Daphnia pulex: one gene and its partners. The protein of the gene in region 5 binds, or shares a complex with, the protein of the main gene of each other region. Links are inferred from orthologs where the notes say so. Each region holds a gene or a part of one and is shown on either strand. Other genes may lie near its edges.

Region 1 (2,993 bases), on a different chromosome or scaffold from region 5:
CTAAAATAACAGACGGTGAGATCTCATTTCTCTTTATTTTTAAATATCTTATTATTATTCATTTAATTAAATTGATACAGGGTTAAAATCAACATCAGGCCAGCTTAATTACCACCAGTTTCAAGTTAGTCAATCCACTGATTTTTCAGCAAATGTAGTGGACTCCGTAAACTCGAATGGTAAAAAGGATCGGGACGAGGACGCTGATATCATCATCGAAGATTATGACGACTAGAGTCGTCACGTCGCGATAATAAAGAGATCGAGGTTTTTTTTTATTGTAATGTCAACAATTTCTAATATTTAGAATTATAAAATTCTATTTGATGAACAAAGAGGAATAAATAATTTAAAAATATTTTCTTATATTGTAAGTATGCCAATGAATGAATAAGAAAACTTTTTAAAGGAAAAATTGGTATACTGAATTAAAGTGTCTTTAGTCCTTTACAGACGATTAACGAATCAGCCACAAAAAAAAATTTTACAAATAAACTTAGTAATTAAGACAGGAAATGTATTTAATCAAATGCATGGAACATAAAAAATTATTTAATATACTTGTCCATGAATTTCTTATGAAATTCAGACCGAAGTGAATCATTAATAAAAGTGATTTCTTTCCTTTCCGGCTCAGCACGGGAACAATTTTTGAAGACAACATCGTCATCCCATCGTCGTTTGACACGCAAGTCAGATTTCTGAGGTTTCCCAGCGTAATTTAACAATGGATTTCCGCTTAAAATATTTTCCATTCTGATACGTTCCTCTTCTTGTCTCTGTTCCATTTCCTGAAAAACAAGCAATTTGTGTATTTGACAAACAAGAGCATCTAAGTCAATGATAATACCTTTTTGGCCAATTCAGATGCTCGTTCACCCTTTATTCTCTGAAGCTCTGCCATTAATTCAGCAGTGTCATCTTCATCTTCTTCATCAACACTGTCATCACTTTCGTCTTCAATGGGATCATCTGCATCCAAGCTACTAGGATCAACACGTAATTTCTTCCTGCAAAGTGTTAACACATTCTTTAATCCCATAACTGAAATAGTTTGTAGAGATAGGGAAAAAAAGTTAAATGTTTTTCAGACTTACTGGGAAGATACTGACGAAGCTGATTTAACAGCCCTATCTCTGTCTTTGCGATCTCCTTTTTCCTTATGAGATTTTTCCCGTTCTTCTAGATCTCTTTTTAGATCCTTGTTGCGAATTTCCTCTGATGATCCCTGACCAATATCCCTATCAAAAGAAATAAAATTAGAATGTCAGAATTTTTGAATTAAATTTAAATTTTACCTGTATTTTAGTTTAGTATGTGATGCAAGATCTCGACTCGAATATTGCTTACTCATAGAACTGAGAGACGTTTCTCCCCTGCCTTGTCCTCCAGTAGCAGGGGCAAATGTTGGTCGCGAAGCAGTTGTCATTTTCTAACGATTTTTCAATTACTGTGGAAAATGCTACTTGTACTTGGCTTTGATGAAAGAGTTGCTCTGTTGTATCCGACTCTTGAAAACCTCCAAAGTTACTAAACGCTTTTCCCCCAACACAATTAAAATCAACTAATCAAGGACACACGACAGAAGTTGGATTCTTACTCGAGAATCTCGAGTCGAGATGCAACTCATGCAAGAAGCAGAAGAAGCAGGTTGATAGTTCTTCGTTTTCAATGTGGTGTCGCTAGTGTCGATTTTTATGCTCCTCCCCCGATTTGATCAGAAAACCCGCGAAATTTTGTTAATTAAAAAAAGTACGAAATAGGTTACTTTGTTTCACCTCACATAACTGGTTTCCTACATTTCCACACACGATTTATGTTACGCAATTACAGTACATTAAAGGAATACATATGTTTGTGGTTTATTTTTAATAACCAATAAAAAAATCGACTGTGTGAATGTGTTGACAATGAAAGTTCTAGATTTTCAATCACTACTAAAACAAATTTAGATTGATAAAACAACAAACCATAGTAGTGCGCATCGTCTTGCACCTTCCCTTTTCTACATTATTATTTTATCAACGGGAATGTCAAGAAGTGGTACCACATTTATAGGATGCATCCACATTAATCGTTCTCCGACAATTTCACTAATATTTGAGCGCGCCAGCGGTTGTAGACGAACTATTTGTTCAACTGTTTTCCCAGTTTTCATCAAATATTTCACTAAATCGAATTATCCAAGGAATTATCGATCAGAACGGTGTGGAAAAGAGTAATTTCCAGTATCATTTTGATGATTAATGATGGTCTGGGGTGAACAACTACTGAAAACGTCATTTCTTTTGTATCGACTATCGACCACACAAACATTTGGGGTACTAGGTAATGAACTACCTCGTGAACTACTTAGTAGGCTTTCTTTTTCCGGATCAGATCTAGTCAGGAGGCAGTTAGAATTACAACGAGAACTGTCAGGTTGTAACTCAATAGGTGAAAACCCGTTCGTCAAATTTACAGACTAAAATGCAATTTAAAAAAAAAATTGGGTTAGTCACAATATTTATCATCTACATAAAAGTAATTCAGTTGCAGGAATCCCATACCGTATCAGAATCTTCTCTGCTAGACATGAAAGCAGATTCGCATTCCGTCATTCGTGGCACAACTTCACGCTGTACCCGCTCTAGGACGGTAGCACTTCTGACTGCTTGGTACAGGGATCGGCTCATGTGAAAATACACTAGATCACTGACCGCACGAACAGTATAATCAACAACAAACGCCTGTCCACGTGCAGCTTTGCTTCCATTATCGCCAATGTCGAATTCATCGATGATTGGAGAGTGAATTGATTGTACGCTGCCATGAAAGAACTGGTTGGCAAATGACGATTCTCCTGATACATAATAACATTAAACCATTGGTGAAATCGCCATGCAGTAAAGTTATTAAACCCCCTACAATATATAGCTCATCTTTTGCCATGTTATAGTTAAAAGCAATAGTACCCATCCCAATATTTCAACAGAGAATAACGTTAATGAAAT
Region 2 (4,287 bases), on a different chromosome or scaffold from region 5:
CGTTCGAGATAGCTGGCTGATTGTACCCTCAAGGGTAAATCTTTCAGCGCTTTCGCTAACTAGAAAACAAATCACCAAAAGACATTGATTATTGAACGCGTAATTTAACAAATTATTATTTATCATAAATGTGGTTTGCTTACCGGTTTGTCATCCATCGTGTGTCGTTTTGGCAGACGAGAGGACAATGCTGCGTTGCCGTCGCATATAAAAAAAAGTCAGTAAAATTGTGAACCCTTCCTTCCCCTTTTTCGATTTTTATTTTTAATTGCTACAGAATTATTGAGTAAAAAAAATGACATACAATTTGATAAGAACAAGTGTTCGAGAAAGAGTTTATTTTTAAAAAATCAGCCACAAGTAAGCAAAGAATAATCCAATATCCGGGAAGGTCACCAATTACTGAAATTACCAAATGAATAGTTAGCAGATGTTTTAGCTTTTTTATGTTGAGAACTGCCGGATTCTTCTCCAGCCGAATCAGCTGGTCTATAAAAAAAAATAATAATAAGCTGCAATGAAACTATTTTATTTAATAGAAAATTAAAGATATACTTGTTGGTGAAAGCTTTAGGGTTGATGTATTTTCCTACACCAGATTGTTTGAAAACCTTAAGCTGGGCTTTAGGGATGGAAGCCTTTGCTTCCTTCAACTGTCTCTCAGCTTCTTCTAGCGCTGCGGCTCTCTCAATCACCAACTAAAATGTAAAAACAAAAGTAAATTTTGCTTCTAAGGTTGAATTGATTTTCTCGGCAACCTTTTCGTCTACTTCGGCATATGGGTCTGTAAATATCTGTGACGACTCAATAATAATCTCTTCTACGGGTCGATCTTTATTGTCAGTACCAATTCGTTCCATAGCGCTCAAAGTTTCCATTCCACCCACGACACGACCGAATATTGTGTGCTTTCCGTCCAGATGTTTACACGAGCGATAGGTGATAAAACTGAAAGAGTAATAATCAAATTGATGCGTAATGTATGCATAGAACTAGATAATTTAAACGTACAACTGAGATTTATTAGTGTTGGTTCCCGAGTTCGCCATCGATAAAATACCCCGACCGGTGTGGGATAGATTCGGCTTAAATTCATCTTCAAATGATCCTCCCCAGCAAGACTCTCCTCCGGTACCAGTTCCAGTGGGATCGCCACCTTGAATCTGGAAAATTTTTGTTAGGAAATCTCTGTAACAGCCCGTGATCACGTTGAGATCTACAGTACCATGAAATGCTTGATAGACCGATGAAACTTGGTGTTGTTGTAGTAGCCTTTTTTGCACAGGTTGACGAAATTTTCACACGTTTTAGGTACCATTTCACAATGTAACTCTAAATTAAGAGGCCCGACATTTGTAACTAGTCTAACATAACCTAAGAAATTAAATTGATGAAATAAAAACAAATTTAGATGGTTTGTGAAGAATTCATTACAAGAAACTACTTTAACCTTTTTTCTTAATGCGCTGATATCGAACGATACTTTCATCGAGAATTGCTGGTTCATGCTTAGTTTCTGGTGCCATCACCGTAGAAGTAAAACCAGCAGCGACAGCCCCGGTGGAATAATGAGCCTGATAGTTTTTTTTTGTTTTATAAACAAGTTATAAAAACGAAAATAATAATAAATAAAAGGGATAAATTTAAAACTTTAACTGAATCAAATTACCGCATTAATGGAATCAGCTACTGCTTTTACAGTTACAGTCTCTTCAGGTGCCTTGTATTCCTGTTCTAATTCTGCCAAAACTCCCTTCGTTTCTGCATTGATGTATTTGAGACGGGCTGCAGGATCGGTTTTGGCCCTTATTAATTCTAGTAGAGAGAATCATATTTATGAAAGCAAATCAATTGGCGTTGTTAAGTCTATAATCAATAAGACAACAAATTACCTTCATTTTCGATTTTTTGGTCATGCGTTACATGATAAAATTTAGCGATGTTAAACTTTTCTAGGTGAGATGGGTCTTGAAGAGTGATAATGTCTTGACGAGCAAATGTTTCATCTGTTAACAACTCTTTCCAGTTTTTGGGCTTCAGATTGAGTTGCTCTACTGCCTCATAGGAGAACACATTTCCAGTAGTTCTGATGGCCACAATGTGGGATTTGTCTGTGAACTGCTTGAACAATACAGGGCAATGGTATGCCCCTTCAGCATTTTTATGATAATTTAACCTCAGAAGGGCTTTGCTTTCCAATGGCTAGAAAAATTAAATTCTCATAAACATGCCTTTCTAGTTCAAGTTTATCGGATGAAGCAAACATGCAATACCCATAAGCAAAACTTACTTTTCCTGTTACTGGATTAGTTTTATACTTTTTCAAGTATGGAACTATAGCAAGAAGGTCGAAAACATTTCCTTCAGTGTCACACAAAGGATTCTCAAAAAGCTGAAGTGACAAGGCACAGTGATCATATGGAAGTCGTCGAAATGAAGCACTGGCACTATTTGGATTAACAGGCTTCTTCCCACCATACAATGTGCTCCACTCTGTACTTGTCAAGTACCTAAATATAAGATAGTAAACTAGTTAGTGTTTTCATACTAAACATATCATTCAAATTGAAATATCTTAGAACTTGCATTTTATCTTTCTGGTGTTGTCGTTTTCCCATTTTCAGATAGTTTTCACGCTTTGATGAAGAAAAACAGTATCAAAGTTCTCTGTGAAATACACAAATTAAAATCGAGCAAACTTTTTTCAGTTTATGGAATAGAACGCCAAACGACTAATAAACCGACTTGTTGTTTTGGCACACTGTCTTGAACGTCGTCTGCTTACCCTTCAAGCTTCAACCGCTCGACTTAAACTTTTAAACTTTTTGTCTTTTTATAACGATTATTGAATTGTTCTACCATTTAAAAAAAAATTTTATGTACGAAAAATAACATCCAACGATCACATCATCAAGAATTTCATTGGCCAAATTAAATGATGAAATATTGGTCGTTGGACGTTCAGCCACTAGGGGGCCAGGATCGACCTTCATAAAAGCCTCAAAATGATTCGAGATAAGATAATTAAGAGGAACCATTCAAAGAAGACGGCTAAGCCTAAGCGATATGAAAGTCAACAATGCATAATAATTGCTAGACTCCACTATAGACTAGGCAGCTGACAGCAAACAAAAGATTAAGTGAATAAATTGGTTCTATGGAAATTTCCCTTTCTGTGTATTTTCACACTCGCATTAAACTCGATGGGTGGGTCGACAGTTAATTTTTTTGTTCTAGCTTTCGCTCGTTTCATTCGCGTTTTTTTTAATTAAACCACCCTCAGATCGAATATTTTAGGTAAAAAAAAAGAATGATTCGAAAGACAAAGAAAAAAAAATAGAAATAATTAATGTGGTAGCATAACAAATTTAAGGAGATTTTGTTTAAAATTGATCTTCTTCCTTGTTCGTTTCCTTATAGTTTGCGTCTCTTGTGTTGAGACCTAAACGAAAATTAACAGAGCGTCCTCGTCGCACGAACAAGTCGAGCTGGAAACCTCGTGAGATTCATCCGGACGTCTGAGCCATTTGCCATGGCACTCGACGTTGGTCAGCGATGTCCAGCGTGTAATTCTACCCGGCACTCCGTGACCACCGCAACGGCCTCCCAAATAGTCACGAGTAGCCTTGTGTTCACATCGAACACAGACGACGCCGCCTAAACCACGAAAAGGAATAAAATAAAATAAATGTATCAAAACACAATTTTTGAAAAATGATATTTCCATCCGGATATTATTATTCCGGAAGTCAATTACCGTCAGTAAGAGAGTTGAACACTTTCTCTTTGTGGCAGGCCTTGGACACTTTGGTCAGCTCGAATGTCACGCAGTAACTGAATAAAGACGGAAGTGTTATTGCAACATGTATGCGCCAATTTTCAACGTCCAATTGAAGAGCAATCATTGGTGTCGAAAATTTCTTAAATTTTGTGGCTTGATTGTTTATAGGTATGTATCCTCACTCGTTGGTGGAACCTTCCGGGTGCTCCTGGGCGAGCTCAGCGTTGCGGAAGCGCAGATTCTTGCGGATGTCGTGGCTGTCGTTCATCCGGCGGCTGGCACCAAACGAAGCCGGTAACAGCATAGCCATTTCTGTCCGTGACGTCCAACAATAGAAAAAACAAAAAAAGTTTAAAATGTTAGTTAAGAAAATGTTGGAACAATAGCCGCGGTAACTATTATATGACAGGTATACTCCATTGACAGAATTTTCCGGTTCATTTGTATTCTTGACCCAAACTTATTATGATTTCCCCCTTATTATTCTCGGCCCGTCTGACACCCAC
Region 3 (3,661 bases), on a different chromosome or scaffold from region 5:
TAGACAACACGGACAACAGGGCACACCTGAAAACGGCCGGCCCACTTCGTGCCGTGACCTTCCTCCCTTCTCTTTCGACACACTCAGCCAAAGCGCCATCTGGCCATAGCGCACTCGACACACTCAACAGAAACGACCCCAACGCCTTTTCTTTCTTTTCTTTTTCTGCTGCTGAACAACAGAAGAAAAATGATTTGAAGGCAGCCAAGGCCGGAAAGGGTGTCATCTTCCGGATAGAATTTTCCGATTCAACCACGACGGACGATTCATGAATAGCCGCACCTCCTCTACAACATGGGTTGGGCAACTTTCACGAACTGCTGGTAGAGTCGCGACTCGGAAAATGTGCAAAGTGTTGACGCCATCCGCATGGAATTTCCTCCGCGCGCCTCTCGTTGAATCTGAAAAAAACCCTGCAATTTTGAATGTTGATGGATGGGCCCCATTCCGTCGAGGTAATAAAAAGGGAAATGTTAAGAACAAGGACAGGCGTCATTGGCTACTAAAAGTAATTGCATGGCTTTATTCAGTCAAGGTAAATTCATCATCGGAATCACATGTCGGATACACTCCATTTGTAGGCTTCCTCCTGAAGGGCCACGGCGTTGTTTTGTTTTTCAAAGTACATCTTCTCGTAGCCAGTCGAGCGGTCAACCCCGTCCCATCTGTAGCCGGGTAGTATACCGAAACGATTGGGAGCAGCAGCAGGGCCCCTGTAGACAGGTCTAGCGGCTTTCCCCTTGCCGTCACCACCGCTCTTGACCTTTTTCTTGGCCATGTAAGCAGCCATGGGATCACCTTCACGATCTTGTTCGCGTAACAACCTTTCCAAATCTTCGTCATCGGCGAAACGAGCCAGCGGTTTGGACATTTCGTGAATGGCTTCGGCAACTTGCGTCGAATGCGTTTCTCCTTGTTTAAGACCCTTGTTCCATTTTTGGTAAGCTTCTTGCAGCTTGGCAATCTTCTCGGCTTTTTCTTTATCAACCTGTTGCTTGGCTTCAATTTGGCGCAGCTTGCCAGCTCGGATGGCAGTCGTGGCGTTCTGCCCAGTGAGTGATTTGTCCATTTTGCGGAAGGCTTCCTCTTCTCTCTTGCGTAATGCATCAGTCTCCTCACGCAAAGCTCTGCCAGTCTGAAGGCCGGCCATCTTTCCATCTAGGGTTTTGGTCAGTTTCTCCGAAGCTCCTCCGCTGCGTGATGTTGATTTATTAGGACGCTCAGGGCTGAGGTCTCCGTCTGGATCTGGTTTGATGCGCATTTGGGCACCGGAATCAACGTTTTTCTTCCGCCGCGGAGGACTGAGATCACCGTCAGCATTTTGATGCTTTCTTGGTGGACTCTGGTCGGAATCGGAGCCTTTACGCCTTCTTAATGGACTTTGGTCCGAGTCTGAATCGTGTCGCTTTCGTTGTGGGCTTTGATCCGAGTCTTTCCTTGTTCTTCGAGGAGGACTAGCATCTGAGTCTGAATCGTGACGTTTTCGTGGTGGGCTTTGATCAGAGTCTTTTCTCGTTCTTCTAAGTGGAGATGGATCAGAGTCTGAATCATGGCGCTTTCTTCTAGGTGGGCTGGCATCTGAATCAGAATCGTGTCTTCTACGTGGAGGACTGGGATCTGAATCTGAATCATGTCTTTCTTTCTTCACTGTGATTGGTCGTTTCAAGGCAGTGGAATCTTTCCTTGGTAAGTGACTGTCACTTGAATCAATATCTCGATCACTTGATTTAGACATGGATTTTGGTTTGTCATTTTCATCCACACCAAGTCTCTTCCACTTTGAACTTTCCACAAAGTCTTGTTTGGTTATCATTTCTATGGAACGATTATCGACAACCCCAGCCACCAGAGGAGCATCTTCTTGGTTGTCAATTTGGTCTTCATCTTTCTCGTATCCTGCAGCTATCTTCCTCAAATCTATTTCTTCATCAACGATCTTGATGCCCCTAATAAGTAAATGAAAACAAATTGACTAGATTAAGAAAAAGCTTAAGTTAAAATTAAAAAATGATGTGTATTGTCTAAAGTTCACAAAAAGCCTGACTTACCCTTTGGCTTTCAGTAAGGGCCTGAGTTTCTTTTTCTTGACTTTATTTTCTTCTTTTTTCGAAGAGGACATGTACTTTTTCAGATATTCTAATTTGCTCATAGGAGCACTCATTTTTACAATAATTTCAGGGGAATATTTACAAACCGTAATCCCTCGCGTTTGTCAACGCTTTCACACGAAATATGAATACAAGCTCCACCTATGGTTAACGCGTGAAACTATACACCATCTATCGGGAAGTTTTCAAAATAAAAAAAATTGTTTAAAAAAAATAGATTTATGTAATAGCGATTTTAAAGAAATGTATTCATTGCCTATGGCGTTTACATTTTTTACAAGAGTCACCCGTCAGTTAAGCATGCGACCTGTCTTGTGTTAAACCACAAGCAACCGATGGTCTGGTTGGCTTGTCAAATCACCTTAGTTACTGTCCAGGTATTTGCGTGCCGCTGCATATGGAACACGCAATCTCGAACCCGACTTTCTACCCGCACTTCCCGTGCTTTCATTGTCATATTTTCAGCTATTTAATAACCTGTTTCTTTTCAAACCGTCGTTATTATTTGAGGTACAGTAAACGAGAACGGAAGGGTGTGGAGAAGTGATCGCAGCGAAACGATGGCGCAAAAACCCAACTGGATTTTAATTTGCACGGCTTCTGTAATTTGTCTTATCATAGGTATCGTAATCATTTGAAATGTTACTGTATGTGTTGGTTTGACTTCATCTTTCCACCTGACAAAGGAATTCTCATCGGTCGTTACGCTATCGGAAATGATAGGGACGACGTGTCGCCTCAGAAGGCGAAAATGTCTGCCACTTTGATGGAGGAGCTCAGTGCATCAAATATTGGCGAATATCTCAAGTAAGTCCAACATCATCGCTAATCAAAAGACAAATTTGATTCATTGTCTAATTAACTCCCAAAATGATTGTCACAGATATTTGAGCAGTATACCGAATTTAGCTGGAACTCCACAGGATTTGGAAGTGGCTAGTTGGGTGCGCGATCGTTTCGTCGAGGGAGGATTAGACGAAGTCCAATTGGTTCCTTACAAGGTGCTGCTTTCCTACCCAGACATGAGCAACCCCAATCAGGTCTCGCTACTCGACTCCAACGGCAAGGTGAACTTCACCACCTCAGGACGTCAGACGCCACTCTTTTCCAGCGAAGAATTCTCTCCGTTAGTTCAACCCAATTTTAACGCTTATTCAGCTAACGGAACTGTCGAGGTGAAATTAAATTTCTATCGTTGTTTTATTGATGACACTTAACTTAATTACACCATTTCATAGGGGGAACTCATTTACGCAAATTATGGTCGGAAACAAGATTTTGAGTACTTGAAATCTCTCGGCATAGACATTCGTGGTCGAATTGTGATTGCTCGATATGGGGCGATTTTTCGTGGCAATATCGTAATCAATTATTTTTAAAAATGTATTGAATTATTACTAACATTTGATATTTGTACTACAGGTGAAATCCGCCGAAGATGGAGGAGCTCTTGGAGTGATACTCTTTTCTGATCCCAAAGATTTCGCCCCGGAAGGGCGCACATCTGTCTATCCCAACACAACGCGACTTCCGGGCATGGCTGTTCAAAGTGG
Region 4 (4,050 bases), on a different chromosome or scaffold from region 5:
CTCGGCGTATCCTCACTGGACACAAGAAAGCCATGACTCAGGTGTGCACCAGACACTCAACACACACTAACACACGCACTATTAACTCGAAATCGATTGGTAAAATGCACTTGATTAGTTTAATTTGTTTGACACAATTAGCAGGGCAATGTCGATTGTTGTATGTTCAGTCGTCAGGTGAGAATGAGAATTGACACAGCAGCAGAAAGAGTCAGCCTGGAAGAAGGCCTGGTTTCTGCTTCTGTTCCATGGCCTCCGCCAATACCCACTGGCACTGCACACCTTGAAAAACAGTCTCTGCTGGTAGATGGGAAGAAGAAGAAGAAGAAGAAGAAGCAACAACTTTACCTCCCAATCCCCCCTCTAACCAATTCCATCCAACCAGGTTTTCTCAAATACAGTTTGTTGCCTTTATGCTCCAGGGGCTCTTTTTCTTACCTTCTTCTTCTTCTTCTTCCTTCATTCACATTCTTTCCCTCTATATGCACCTTTATTATTATATACCTTTGGGCTCTTCTTCTTCTTCTTTCGCTGCTGCTGCTGCTGCTGCTAATTTATTTCTTCCCTTTTCTTGAGGATTGGAGTTTTTTTTGTTTGGGAAGGAAGAGACGCTTTTTACCTGTGCACACCGCCGCGTCTTATAGCCTAGCGGTCACGTAAAAGGTGCGCGCATGCCAGCTCAAGCTAAAAGGGATGTAGTCAGTCAACCAACAAGAAAGCCTTTTATTTTCTTAATTCATTTTTTTTTCTTCTTTTCAACCATTTCTGTCTGTGGTTGATTTATACTTTTTGATGGTTATCTTATTACACTTAAAAAAAAAAAGCCTTTGGGGACAAAGTTGCACCGGTCGTACAGTTATTTTATAAAGGCAAAGAGAGTTCAAGGAGCTCAAGTCTACTTAATAAGCAGTGACCGTTTGCTACCTACTCGCAGGATCAAATGACAAAACAGGTTCCTTGCAATTTTGGCTTCAACTGAAAAAACGACATTTTTCTTATAGTCAAATTAACCGGTTGGACGCGCCATGATTTCGGGATACATTATTTCGCGTCGATAAATTGAGAGGAAACCTTAGATTGGCATTTTCCCGTTATTCGTCCAATTGATTTTGTCATCGAAGAAAATTAGTTATGCGTAGCGTAACCCATATTTGATATGTTTTGTCCTTTTTTTCTTTCAGAAGCGCTGGCAGGAGCTGGCGCTATGCATATGCAGCAGTCGATTTATTTTTCTAAACTGGCAATGCTGTTTCCATTTTCCTGACTGAAGGGACAAGAGGGAAGGCGATCAATTGAGTTAGGGGTCCTCCATTTAAGACTTGAGTTTAGCCCGGCTTTATTCTCCCATTTATTTTTACTTTTATAGAATTACCTCGATTTGAGGTATTTTTCTTTCACAATGACTGATGCCGGTTTCTTCAGAGTAAGTGTTAATAATTACCCAAGTTAGAACTATTATTCCCTTGAATTGTTTGCAGCATCTCGACACGCCAACTCGGTCGTAAAATTCTTGCTTCATCAGTTGTGAAATCTGTTTTGTTAACTGATGGGATGCATTGTAATATTTGAATTCTTTCAACAGGGCACCTCAACTGAGCAAGACAATAGATTTAGTGACAAAGAGAAGAAGCTTTTGAAGACTATCAAATTTGCTGAAAATGTGACTAGAAAGGTAAATTATTGATCACCTGTGCAACTTTAACAACATCAATATGAGTTACATGTTAATATTCATTAATGCATGTTAAAAAATTCAGGTGGATATGAGCAAAGTTAAGTTGGAAACCATCAAACCATGGATCACAACCAAAATTACAGAACTTATGGGAGGAATTGAAGATGACGTCCTGGTGGAATATGTTTTTAATCAGCTCGAAGCTGACAAGGTAATATCCTTTTAATCTCAGCCGTGTAGATTTATCTTATGGGAAACATTTGCCACCAAAGCTTTTCACCAATCATTCTGCTGTTTATCTTATGCAATTTTTTTAATATCAGGCTGAAATAGCCATCACATACTAAGAATGATTGAACGTCAGCTCCTTTGCATCTGGTTCTTGTTTGTAATTTGGTTTAATGTGAAAGATAAGTTATGATTTAAGTTTTCACCACCCAGATGGCTTTGATTATATTTTGTCTGTGCTCATGCTCATCTCAATATCTTGTACACTTTTGGGTCCTGTGTTATGAAGACTTAATGTGGAATTGCATCAAAGCCTTGTTGTCACCATGTCACACACACCACCTTGACATGATGGATGCAAGGATTCTTTCTCGACCGAGACCTGGTCGCATTATTTCGAGGTCTTCTCTTCGAATTGATTCACCTTTCGGCCTGTTCCGTGGACGATTCCTCTTATCGTCGGCCACGATGTCTATGGATTTGGATTTCCAACGTTTCGCAGTCGACCGATGAAGGATTCACTCCTGCGAAATGATGGAATACGGCACGTTCTAAACCATCGAGTCATGAGAGGCAATTCTGGGATCGCCTTTCGCCCAGCCAATGCAACGCCTTCTCCCCCAGTTGATAGTTAACCGCACAGTCGACAACAGGGAAAACTCCTGTGTGGTTAAGTCGGGCTCTGATCGCAGTAGGCCTACTCAGGAATCCGTGTTGAGAAGCTGAGAAGAAGAGATCCTTTCGTCTCGGCCCAAAAAGCAGGACGGTACAGTCGACAGAGATAAGACTCCTGTGCCGTTCGCTAACGTGGTCGAAGCTGCTAGATTTGCCTGATAGATGACGACAGACCATCCCATCTTTAAAAATCACCTGATCGATCGCATCGTGGTGCCGGGGTAGCCATCAGGAGTAGGACTAGTCAGATGACGACCCAATAGCTGGGCGGTACAGTCGACAGGACAACTCCTGTGCCGCTCGCTTCGTGGTCGTCTCTTTGATACCGAGTCGCCGGTGTTTTTATGACGGATGGGAAACTCGGTTCTCCCTCAACGCCCAGATTGGAAAAAAAGAAATAAGAGATTTTTTTCTGTTGTCACTCTGGTCGAGCTCTCAGGCAAGAATAACAAACCAAAACAAACTACGTAAAACAGCTTATCCTTTTAAAGAGCAAACCCCTGAAAGGTATTGCTCGCTTAATCCGCCGAGATCATACCGAAACCTAATCTATTTGTGTCCGTTTACTTAAGTATCTCTTTTCCATTTCGGTTGTTTGATTTTTCTGTTATTTGTCTTTTTTTTTTCTTAAAACCTATAGAACCCTGACCCTCGTCGCATGCAAATCAATTTAACTGGATTCCTCAACGGCAAGAATGCCAGGATTCTGATGACTGAATTGTGGGATCTTCTACTATCTGCCCAAGAATCGTCTGCTGGAATTCCGGAGGTCTTTATGGCACAGAAGAAGGAAGAAATCAAATTAAGAAAGGTATGCAACCATCGGAAATAATTCGCGGTATTAGTTTTGTTTCTATCATTTTCGTCTTTATTGGTTTGCAGGAAGAACAAGATCGAATCCAGGAAGCAATCAAAAAGGCCGACCGGGATCGGCGCGCTGACCGAGAAAAGGAACGCAACGACCGTACTGACAAACGAGCTTCCAAAGATAGAAGCCGTAGCCCCAACAAGGACAGGGTGATCAAGAAGGAAGGAGACAATCCCCGCTCTTCACCTCGTCGTGACGGCCGACGTCCTTCATTGGAGCGTCGTTCTCCTAATCGAGGCAAGGCGTCGCCACCGCCTCGTCGTCGCTCACCTGCCAGATCGCCAGCAAGGCGCTCGCCTCGTCGATCTCCACGTCGATCACCTGTTCGTCGCTCCCCAGCTCGCCGTTCTCCTGCACGCAGATCTCCCGCTCGTCGCTCGCCAGCTAGACGATCACCCGTTCGCCGCTCTCCCGCTAGGAGATCTCCAGTTCGAAGGTCCCCAGCCCGCAGATCTCCTGTTCGTCGGTCACCGGTCCGCAGGTCGCCCGTTCGAAGATCTCCCAGGCGTTCACCTGTTCGTAATCATTCTCCTCGGCGTCCTTCACCACGCCGTTCGCCCGTGAGGAAGTCACCCGTTCGACACCGGTCGGCGGAACGTCGTCG
Region 5 (4,077 bases):
GTCTTAATGAGATGCTCGGTGCTGTTGCGTAATTAACGTGCCTCGGGACCTCAACTATCTCTCTCTCCATGGGCAAATAACTTGAATAATAAACATGACTGCTGCCATGGGCTTATCTGTCAGTAAACTTCACCATCAGCTGCTGCGCCACAAGCACCCCGGTGCCAAATCAAGTTCCCCTTGTGCCAAGGCCTACATAGTATAGTCTGAGCGAGACAAGGCGGCCTATATCGATCGATCCGTCCAAAGAGCCTCAACCAACCCCCACCACCCAGCCAACTGTATTATCGCACAAGGGAAAAGGCGAAACTGCTATACACACACATATATAGTCTTGGATCAAATAGATGATATATATACAGAGGAAGAAGAAGACTTTGATAATGAGACGTGCTGCTGCTGCCGTTCCTTTATTTATTGGAGACCGGCATCAGCACATCTCGTATTGATTTCCTGTTGCAAAGAGAGCAGCCGTCGTCGTCGAAAAGTTCCCAAATCTTGTCCTACAACTGTCTCTCTATTATCGGATGTACTGTATGCATTGTGGATGCATTATAAAGCCCTACGCCGCAAAAGAGATTTATTGGCCCACACATTGAAAGTCGAAACGGAAGGCGGAAGAGAGACGGAGATGAGGCGAGCTCACGGTCACCGCACATCCACATTTATCATTTGTTATGGGACGAGACTCTGAACTGCCTCGCTGATTCGCATCGCTTCAAAATGAGAATCTATTCACTATAGTATATCAAACTCTTACGTTGGCATTTATGGCCACCGGATTTCAGACTGTTAAGCCAGCTATCCGTTGATAAATCAGATGGTGCAACCCTCCCAACGAGAACAGCATTTATTTTTACGACTGTGTCGTCGTCGTGGGATATATTGGCCAAAGTGAAAGTTTTTAAGGTGTTTACTTTTTTCATATGGCGATGCGCTCAGTTCCGCTCGGCGTCCAACTTGTAACACAGAGAGGGTCGATTTCATCAGCGCTCACTTTTACACGTCGGCGTTAATTGCGTTGCATCAAACGAAAAACACAGTGGGCGGCAACTCGTTATATTTTGCCTTGCCATTAGATGTTATTACAAGCAGATTGCAAGAGACGCGAAGTTCCATTAGAGTTGACAAGCGTTCGTATTTCAACTCGGGGCGGGTATGGATTACTTGACTTTCTTATTCTTTTCCACCCACTCTCGACTTTCATCTCATTACCGTAAAAAATGCCAAGAACGGCTGCGAGGAGAAGGAAAAAGGTTGTTGACTGCGCTCTTATTTTTTTATGGAACGGAGAAGAAAAACGTCGGAAGGAATATGAGAGAGAGACTGTAATAAGAAAAGGCGCGCTAACACTCTCATCTCAAGTGCGTCTATTTATTCCGCCCATCATTAAACCTTATTGGATACATCCAACGCAGAGCATACACACACACACGGCGCCACAATCTTGTAAAAAGTTTTCAGGATCGATACGACGTTTTTCCTTTTTTTATATAATTCCCATCACGTCTTGAGCGCCCCATCCCATTGATGGAGACACAATTTTATGTAAACTCTGGATAATTTAATAATATTCTTTTTTTTTTAATTTGTATCGAATAAAATGTCGATGTTGCGAAAAGCCGAAAATATCCCGCATTTTATCTCGCTCTGTTGCGAAGAAACAATCTGACAACGTTGCATCATAAATTATTCTCGAGTTACAATTTTTGTATTTGGCAACATCTTGGTTGAAAGACTCGACTGAAAACATGGCGTCGTTATCAAGGTATAATAATTATTTTTTTGATTTCCTTGTATTTAAACTATGTATTAATTATGGTCATGTTATTTTATACAGTTATCTCCCAGCGCCAACGCAGTTGACGTGGGATCGAGATGTCGAGGAGCAAAAGGAACGTGCTAATCGCCAAACGGCCATCGTGGCCGCCACAAAGGCAATCCCACCATACGGAAATCGCGATTCATGGATGCCTCGAAATGTTTCCGATTTCGGAGATGGAGGTGCTTTTCCCGAAATTCACATGGCCCAATATCCAATGGACATGGGTCGCAAAGACCAGGCTGGACAAAAGTCAAATGCCTTGGCCATCCAACTTGATGCAGAGGGAAAGATCAAATATGATGCTATTGCCAGGCAAGGCCATGGGAAGGACAAACACGTCTACTCCAAATTCACTGATCTCCTGCCTGCTGAAATTACCAATGAGGATGATCCCTCTTTGCACAAGCCCACAGACGATGAAATTGCAGATATAACAGAGAAAACGAGACAAGCCCTGGAAAGAATCACCAATGCCAAAGTAGAAGCAGCTCTTCCAGTCCGTGCCGCAGAGAGAACTGGCCCTGCTCAATTCATTCGCTACACACCAGCACAGCAGGGTGATGAATTCAATTCTGGCGCCAAACAACGCATTATCCGCATGGTTGAAGTACAAAAAGATCCCATGGAACCCCCAAGGTAAATTTTAGAAAAAGTGCCATTTCATTTCATTCCCATATTGACTGATTATTTTTCACTAGGTTCAAAATCAACCAAAAAATCCCCCGTGGTCCACCTTCTCCTCCTGCCCCCGTGTTGCATTCTCCTACACGTAAAGTAACTGTCAAGGAACAACAGGAATGGAAAATTCCGCCTTGCATTTCAAATTGGAAGAACGCTAAAGGTTACACCATTCCTCTTGACAAACGTTTGGCAGCCGATGGTCGAGGACTTCAACAGGTGCCGTCCCTAACGACCTAAAAACGTGTCTTTCCCCAATCAACTAAATGTTGTTGTTTCTCGCAGGTTCACATTAACGAGAAATTCGCGAAATTGGCCGAATCATTGTACATAGCCGATCGAAAGGCCAGAGAGTCGGTTGAACTTCGCGCCCAACTTCAAAAGAAACAAGCGCAAAAAGAAAAGGAAAAGAAGGAAGATACTCTGCGACAGCTGGCGCAGCAAGTCCGCGAAGAGAGAGCAGGTCTGCGACCCGGTGCAGGCGCTGCTGCTGCTCGTGAAGACGACGATGATGCAGCGGAGCGTGACAACTTGAGACAAGAACGGCATCGTGAGCGTCAACGTGAGCGCAACATTGCACGCGCGGCTCCCGGCGATAAAAAGTATTAAACATTTGATTTCCTTTCAACTTTTTCCAGTCAATTAATTAACAATTTCCATTGACGCGTAGATCCAAACTCGATCGCCAACGCGAGCGTGACATTAGTGAGCAGATTGCATTGGGGATGCCTGCTCGAGCTTCTGCAAGTGGCGAGACCATGTACGATCAGCGTTTACTGAACCAAACTCGTGGAATGGACAGTGGATTCGCCGATGATGAGGCCTACAATGTCTACGACAAACCTTGGCGTGAACAAGGAACTCTGTCCAGTAATCTCTATCGTCCGACCAAGAACCTCGATCAAGATTTGTACGGCGACGATTTGGATAAACTTGTCAAGACCAGCAAGTAAGTTGACCTACTTTCAAGGTGCATTGGTTTATGAAGTTGAAACTCATTTTGTTTTTCATTTGTTTACAGGTTTGTACCTGATAAGGAATTTAGCGGAACTGATCGTTCTGGTCCTTCCGGCTCCCGCAGTGGTCCAGTTCAGTTTGAGAAGGAAGAGGATCCTTTCGGCCTCGACAAGTTTTTGACGGACGTCCGCAAGGCCAGTAGCAAACGACCCACTGACGCGGAACGCTCAGACAAGGACAAGGATAAGAGACGGCGTCGAGACTAAATATTGTTTTTCTTTCCGTTGACGATTTCGCAATTTGTTTCATTTTACCTCACACAAAAAAAAATCTTTTTAAAAAAACCACAAAAACAATGATTCCTTTTCTCCAAGACCAGAATACATTTCAAATGAAATGTCTGTGACTAGTTTTATTTATTCATTGATTACGAGACAAAACACTTGATTCAATACTGTAAAGTGACGAAACATTTTGCAAGAATGTACATAATGGTAAATCGAAAATGCAGCAGAAGACTTGAATATCACCAGACAAGTGTAAGTAATAATCATCATGAAAAGAGTCCAGTGGAAAGTCCACGATAAAAACACCTAGCCTCCAGAAGCCTGTGTAGC
Region 6 (2,553 bases), on a different chromosome or scaffold from region 5:
GTTATCGCAAAGCAAATTTTAAAAAATCTTCTTGGTGAGGAAAGAATTTTCTTTCACCATGATTTTTTTCAGATTTTAGTAAATTGAACTTTATCCCCAAAGTGCTAGACATAAAGTTTGGAAACATCGGCGCGCTCGCCATATGTTTCCAAGCTAAAGTGTATGCTAGTTAAAAAATCATAAAAAATTGAAATTAATAAATTTTTACTTGAAACTTTTACCAACGGTAGACGACATAGTCGTCTACATTTGGACAAAGTTTCAAATTTTTCTAATGAAACTCTGATTTTTCTCGATTTTTTAAAATAGAAAAATAGAGGGAAGAGAATAGGGGAGAACAAAGGGGTCCGGCGGTTTTCCCTCTTCTATTCTTCCCCCGGGCTAGGATTTCGTCCCTGCGCCACCAAAATAAATCGGAATTGTTTTTTAAAAAATCGGGACAAATCAGAGTTTCATTAGAAAAATTTGAAACTTTGTCCAAATGTAGACGACTATGTCGTCTACCGTTGGTAAAAGTTTCAAGTAAAAATTTATTAATTTCAATTTTTTATGATTTTTTAACTAGCATACACTTTAGCTTGGAAACATATGGCGAGCGCGCCGATGTTTCCAAACTTTATGTCTAGCACTTTGGGGATAAAGTTCAATTTACTAAAATCTGAAAAAAATCATGGTGAAAGAAAATTCTTTCCTCACCAAGAAGATTTTTTAAAATTTGCTTTGCGATAACTCAAACGTGAGTTATCGCGAAAAAAGGGAGACACATTGGCCCGTAAGCCGCCGTGTTAGAAGCGCGGAAACACTCGCCGTGTTTCCAAACTTTGTGAGGGTACTGTATATAATATATTTCGTATCCACGGATATAGCTCCTCTGATTTGATCTATTACACCCCGAAGAGCCATCTCATGAAAATCATGGAAAATCAATTTTATAGCCCACGCACAAATAAAATTCCGTGACGGGCTACCGATGTGGTAGCCTTCAAGTCAACTCTCTTTATTTTTCTTTGATACCTATAATAATGTGCCATCATGTTTGTTTGCCCAGATTCAGGTTTCGGTTTTTTGCCCAGTTTTTTTTTTATGGGGGAATTGGAGACTGCGTTATTTTGACAAGATTAAAAGCGTTAATTTGTTTCAAAATTCGCGCAACCTAAACGGATACATCTCCTACATCTAGCGGTAAAGAATTAAACTCCACCGCAGGTTTTATTATAGCCGTTCTAATGTCGCAATAGTTTTTCCGTTCTAGTTTCGTTTCTAAAATATGGACGTTCTAGTGTCGGGTGGGCGTTCTAGTGACGACGACAGTGATAGTGCCACGACAGATGTCGTGGCAATAGACAGTTTCGACCGTATTGCCACGACATGATGTCGTGGCAATAGATTTAACCATCCCAGTCTTAGAAAAGGTTAAAGCCATCTCTGCTTGTCTATGTGAACTAACTGAAGTTTGCCTTATGATCGCTAGGTGGTAGTTTGCAAAAACAAAGCTTCGACTAGTCGACTCGAATCTAGCTTTGAAGTTTTTTTGTTGATTGACTAAACTAAAAACGCAGTTAAAGCCTGTAGAAAGATGGTGTGCGATAAATGTGAGAAAAAACTGGGTAAAGTTATAACTCCAGACCCATGGAAATCAGGAGCTCGAAATACCACAGAAGGTGGTGGTCGCAAGCTCAATGAAAACAAAGCTCTTACTTCTACAAAAAATCGTTTCAACCCATATACACCGAAATTTGAAGGCTGCAGAATATGTAAACAGAAAGTTCATCAAAATGGATCGTATTATTGTAAGTACCAAAGAATTTATAAGAAAAGAAGCTGAATTGAGTCTAACAAAATTACTGTAATTTGGAATTTACAGGTCAACCTTGTGCTTATAAAAAAGGAATCTGTTCGATGTGTGGAAAGAAAATTATTGACACAAAAAGCTACAAACAATCTTCCACTTGATAATCTGTTGTGTTATGTTGTGTTACAATCTTGTCTATGTCTCCTAATCTTTAAGTGAATGTGACATTGAATGGAATATATGAAATTAAGATGCTTGAAACTCTTTTCGTACTCTAGTGCTTTACTCATGTGAAGTTTGAGACCTTACAATCACTGTAATTATCTTGAGTGGTACTATATTAATTTTTGGTATTAAAATTTGTAAATTTTTCATACCTCAAGTATATGCAGAATATTACCAGTAAATTTTCTTTGTAAATTATCTTATGGCATGGCTAATGGATGGATATGTAAATTATACTCTGAACTCCATCCCTTATTTTGTCAGAGGTAATGCTTAAAAGGTTAAGGACCAAAGGTTAATCTCCTTTGAACAATTAAACTTAGACTGAGAATTGTTTTTTTTATGAGCTCAATAATCAATAAACACAGCGAATGATGTCGTTCTATGCAATTTAGCATTAGAATTAAACATGCTGTTTACATATATATACTAATTCCAGAAAATTTGCAGTACTTTTTACTTGTTGGCTAAGTCCATGCTAAGCAATAACAAACAAAAAATATTACTTGTAAGGCGTTATACGATATATTTCGAGA

The links. Proteins that work in one complex are often made in the same cells at the same time.
Region 1: puff-specific protein Bx42-like (region 5) and spliceosome-associated protein CWC15 homolog share a complex: the UniProt entries of both Homo sapiens proteins name them as parts of the minor spliceosome. The link is inferred for Daphnia pulex from reciprocal best matches to the Homo sapiens genes SNW1 and CWC15.
Region 2: puff-specific protein Bx42-like (region 5) and RING-type E3 ubiquitin-protein ligase PPIL2-like share a complex: the UniProt entries of both Homo sapiens proteins name them as parts of the minor spliceosome. The link is inferred for Daphnia pulex from reciprocal best matches to the Homo sapiens genes SNW1 and PPIL2.
Region 3: puff-specific protein Bx42-like (region 5) and BUD13 homolog share a complex: the UniProt entries of both Homo sapiens proteins name them as parts of the minor spliceosome. The link is inferred for Daphnia pulex from reciprocal best matches to the Homo sapiens genes SNW1 and BUD13.
Region 4: puff-specific protein Bx42-like (region 5) and serine/arginine repetitive matrix protein 1-like share a complex: the UniProt entries of both Homo sapiens proteins name them as parts of the minor spliceosome. The link is inferred for Daphnia pulex from reciprocal best matches to the Homo sapiens genes SNW1 and SRRM1.
Region 6: puff-specific protein Bx42-like (region 5) and cysteine-rich PDZ-binding protein-like share a complex: the UniProt entries of both Homo sapiens proteins name them as parts of the minor spliceosome. The link is inferred for Daphnia pulex from reciprocal best matches to the Homo sapiens genes SNW1 and CRIPT.

The regions. Positions count from the first base shown.
Region 1 is NC_060025.1:5,440,217-5,443,209, reverse strand, and holds spliceosome-associated protein CWC15 homolog, read right to left. Parts: upstream 1,666-2,993; 5' UTR 1,430-1,665; coding exon 1,299-1,429; intron 1,242-1,298; coding exon 1,098-1,241; intron 1,011-1,097; coding exon 851-1,010; intron 792-850; coding exon 549-791; 3' UTR 501-548; downstream 1-500. Other genes in the region: cell cycle checkpoint protein RAD17-like, read left to right, coding at 1-15, 81-235; unextended protein-like, read right to left, coding at 2,192-2,464, 2,550-2,842. UniProt on the Homo sapiens protein: Involved in pre-mRNA splicing as component of the spliceosome. Component of the PRP19-CDC5L complex that forms an integral part of the spliceosome and is required for activating pre-mRNA splicing.
Region 2 is NC_060022.1:781,503-785,789, reverse strand, and holds RING-type E3 ubiquitin-protein ligase PPIL2-like, read right to left. Parts: upstream 2,801-4,287; 5' UTR 2,619-2,800; coding exon 2,587-2,618; intron 2,511-2,586; coding exon 2,291-2,510; intron 2,203-2,290; coding exon 1,893-2,202; intron 1,816-1,892; coding exon 1,670-1,815; intron 1,575-1,669; coding exon 1,451-1,574; intron 1,375-1,450; coding exon 1,226-1,374; intron 1,164-1,225; coding exon 1,012-1,163; intron 949-1,011; coding exon 759-948; intron 699-758; coding exon 556-698; intron 490-555; coding exon 393-489; 3' UTR 322-392; downstream 1-321. Other genes in the region: eIF-2-alpha kinase activator GCN1-like, read right to left, coding at 1-59, 144-158; somatomedin-B and thrombospondin type-1 domain-containing protein-like, read right to left, coding at 3,443-3,657, 3,758-3,834, 3,964-4,093. UniProt on the Homo sapiens protein: Has a ubiquitin-protein ligase activity acting as an E3 ubiquitin protein ligase or as an ubiquitin-ubiquitin ligase promoting elongation of ubiquitin chains on substrates.
Region 3 is NC_060019.1:12,606,282-12,609,942, reverse strand, and holds BUD13 homolog, read right to left. Parts: upstream 2,185-3,661; 5' UTR 2,162-2,184; coding exon 2,049-2,161; intron 1,947-2,048; coding exon 554-1,946; 3' UTR 501-553; downstream 1-500. Other genes in the region: glutamate carboxypeptidase 2-like, read left to right, coding at 2,669-2,729, 2,795-2,915, 2,992-3,283, 3,347-3,469, 3,531-3,661. UniProt on the Homo sapiens protein: Involved in pre-mRNA splicing as component of the activated spliceosome. As a component of the minor spliceosome, involved in the splicing of U12-type introns in pre-mRNAs.
Region 4 is NC_060027.1:2,460,234-2,464,283, forward strand, and holds the start of serine/arginine repetitive matrix protein 1-like, read left to right. Parts: upstream 1-1,250; 5' UTR 1,251-1,399; coding exon 1,400-1,423; intron 1,424-1,582; coding exon 1,583-1,672; intron 1,673-1,757; coding exon 1,758-1,886; intron 1,887-2,199; exon of another isoform or gene 2,200-3,017; intron 3,018-3,218; coding exon 3,219-3,389; intron 3,390-3,460; coding exon 3,461-4,050. Other genes in the region: SH3 domain-containing protein Dlish-like, read right to left, coding at 1-34. UniProt on the Homo sapiens protein: Part of pre- and post-splicing multiprotein mRNP complexes. As a component of the minor spliceosome, involved in the splicing of U12-type introns in pre-mRNAs. Involved in numerous pre-mRNA processing events.
Region 5 is NC_060018.1:216,102-220,178, forward strand, and holds puff-specific protein Bx42-like, read left to right. Parts: upstream 1-1,277; 5' UTR 1,278-1,751; coding exon 1,752-1,768; intron 1,769-1,840; coding exon 1,841-2,461; intron 2,462-2,523; coding exon 2,524-2,722; intron 2,723-2,788; coding exon 2,789-3,105; intron 3,106-3,173; coding exon 3,174-3,452; intron 3,453-3,524; coding exon 3,525-3,726; 3' UTR 3,727-3,861; downstream 3,862-4,077. Other genes in the region: uncharacterized protein LOC124188708, read right to left, coding at 4,014-4,077. UniProt on the Homo sapiens protein: Involved in pre-mRNA splicing as component of the spliceosome. As a component of the minor spliceosome, involved in the splicing of U12-type introns in pre-mRNAs.
Region 6 is NC_060021.1:4,590,171-4,592,723, forward strand, and holds cysteine-rich PDZ-binding protein-like, read left to right. Parts: upstream 1-1,456; 5' UTR 1,457-1,576; coding exon 1,577-1,790; intron 1,791-1,864; coding exon 1,865-1,953; 3' UTR 1,954-2,053; downstream 2,054-2,553. UniProt on the Homo sapiens protein: As a component of the minor spliceosome, involved in the splicing of U12-type introns in pre-mRNAs. Involved in the cytoskeletal anchoring of DLG4 in excitatory synapses.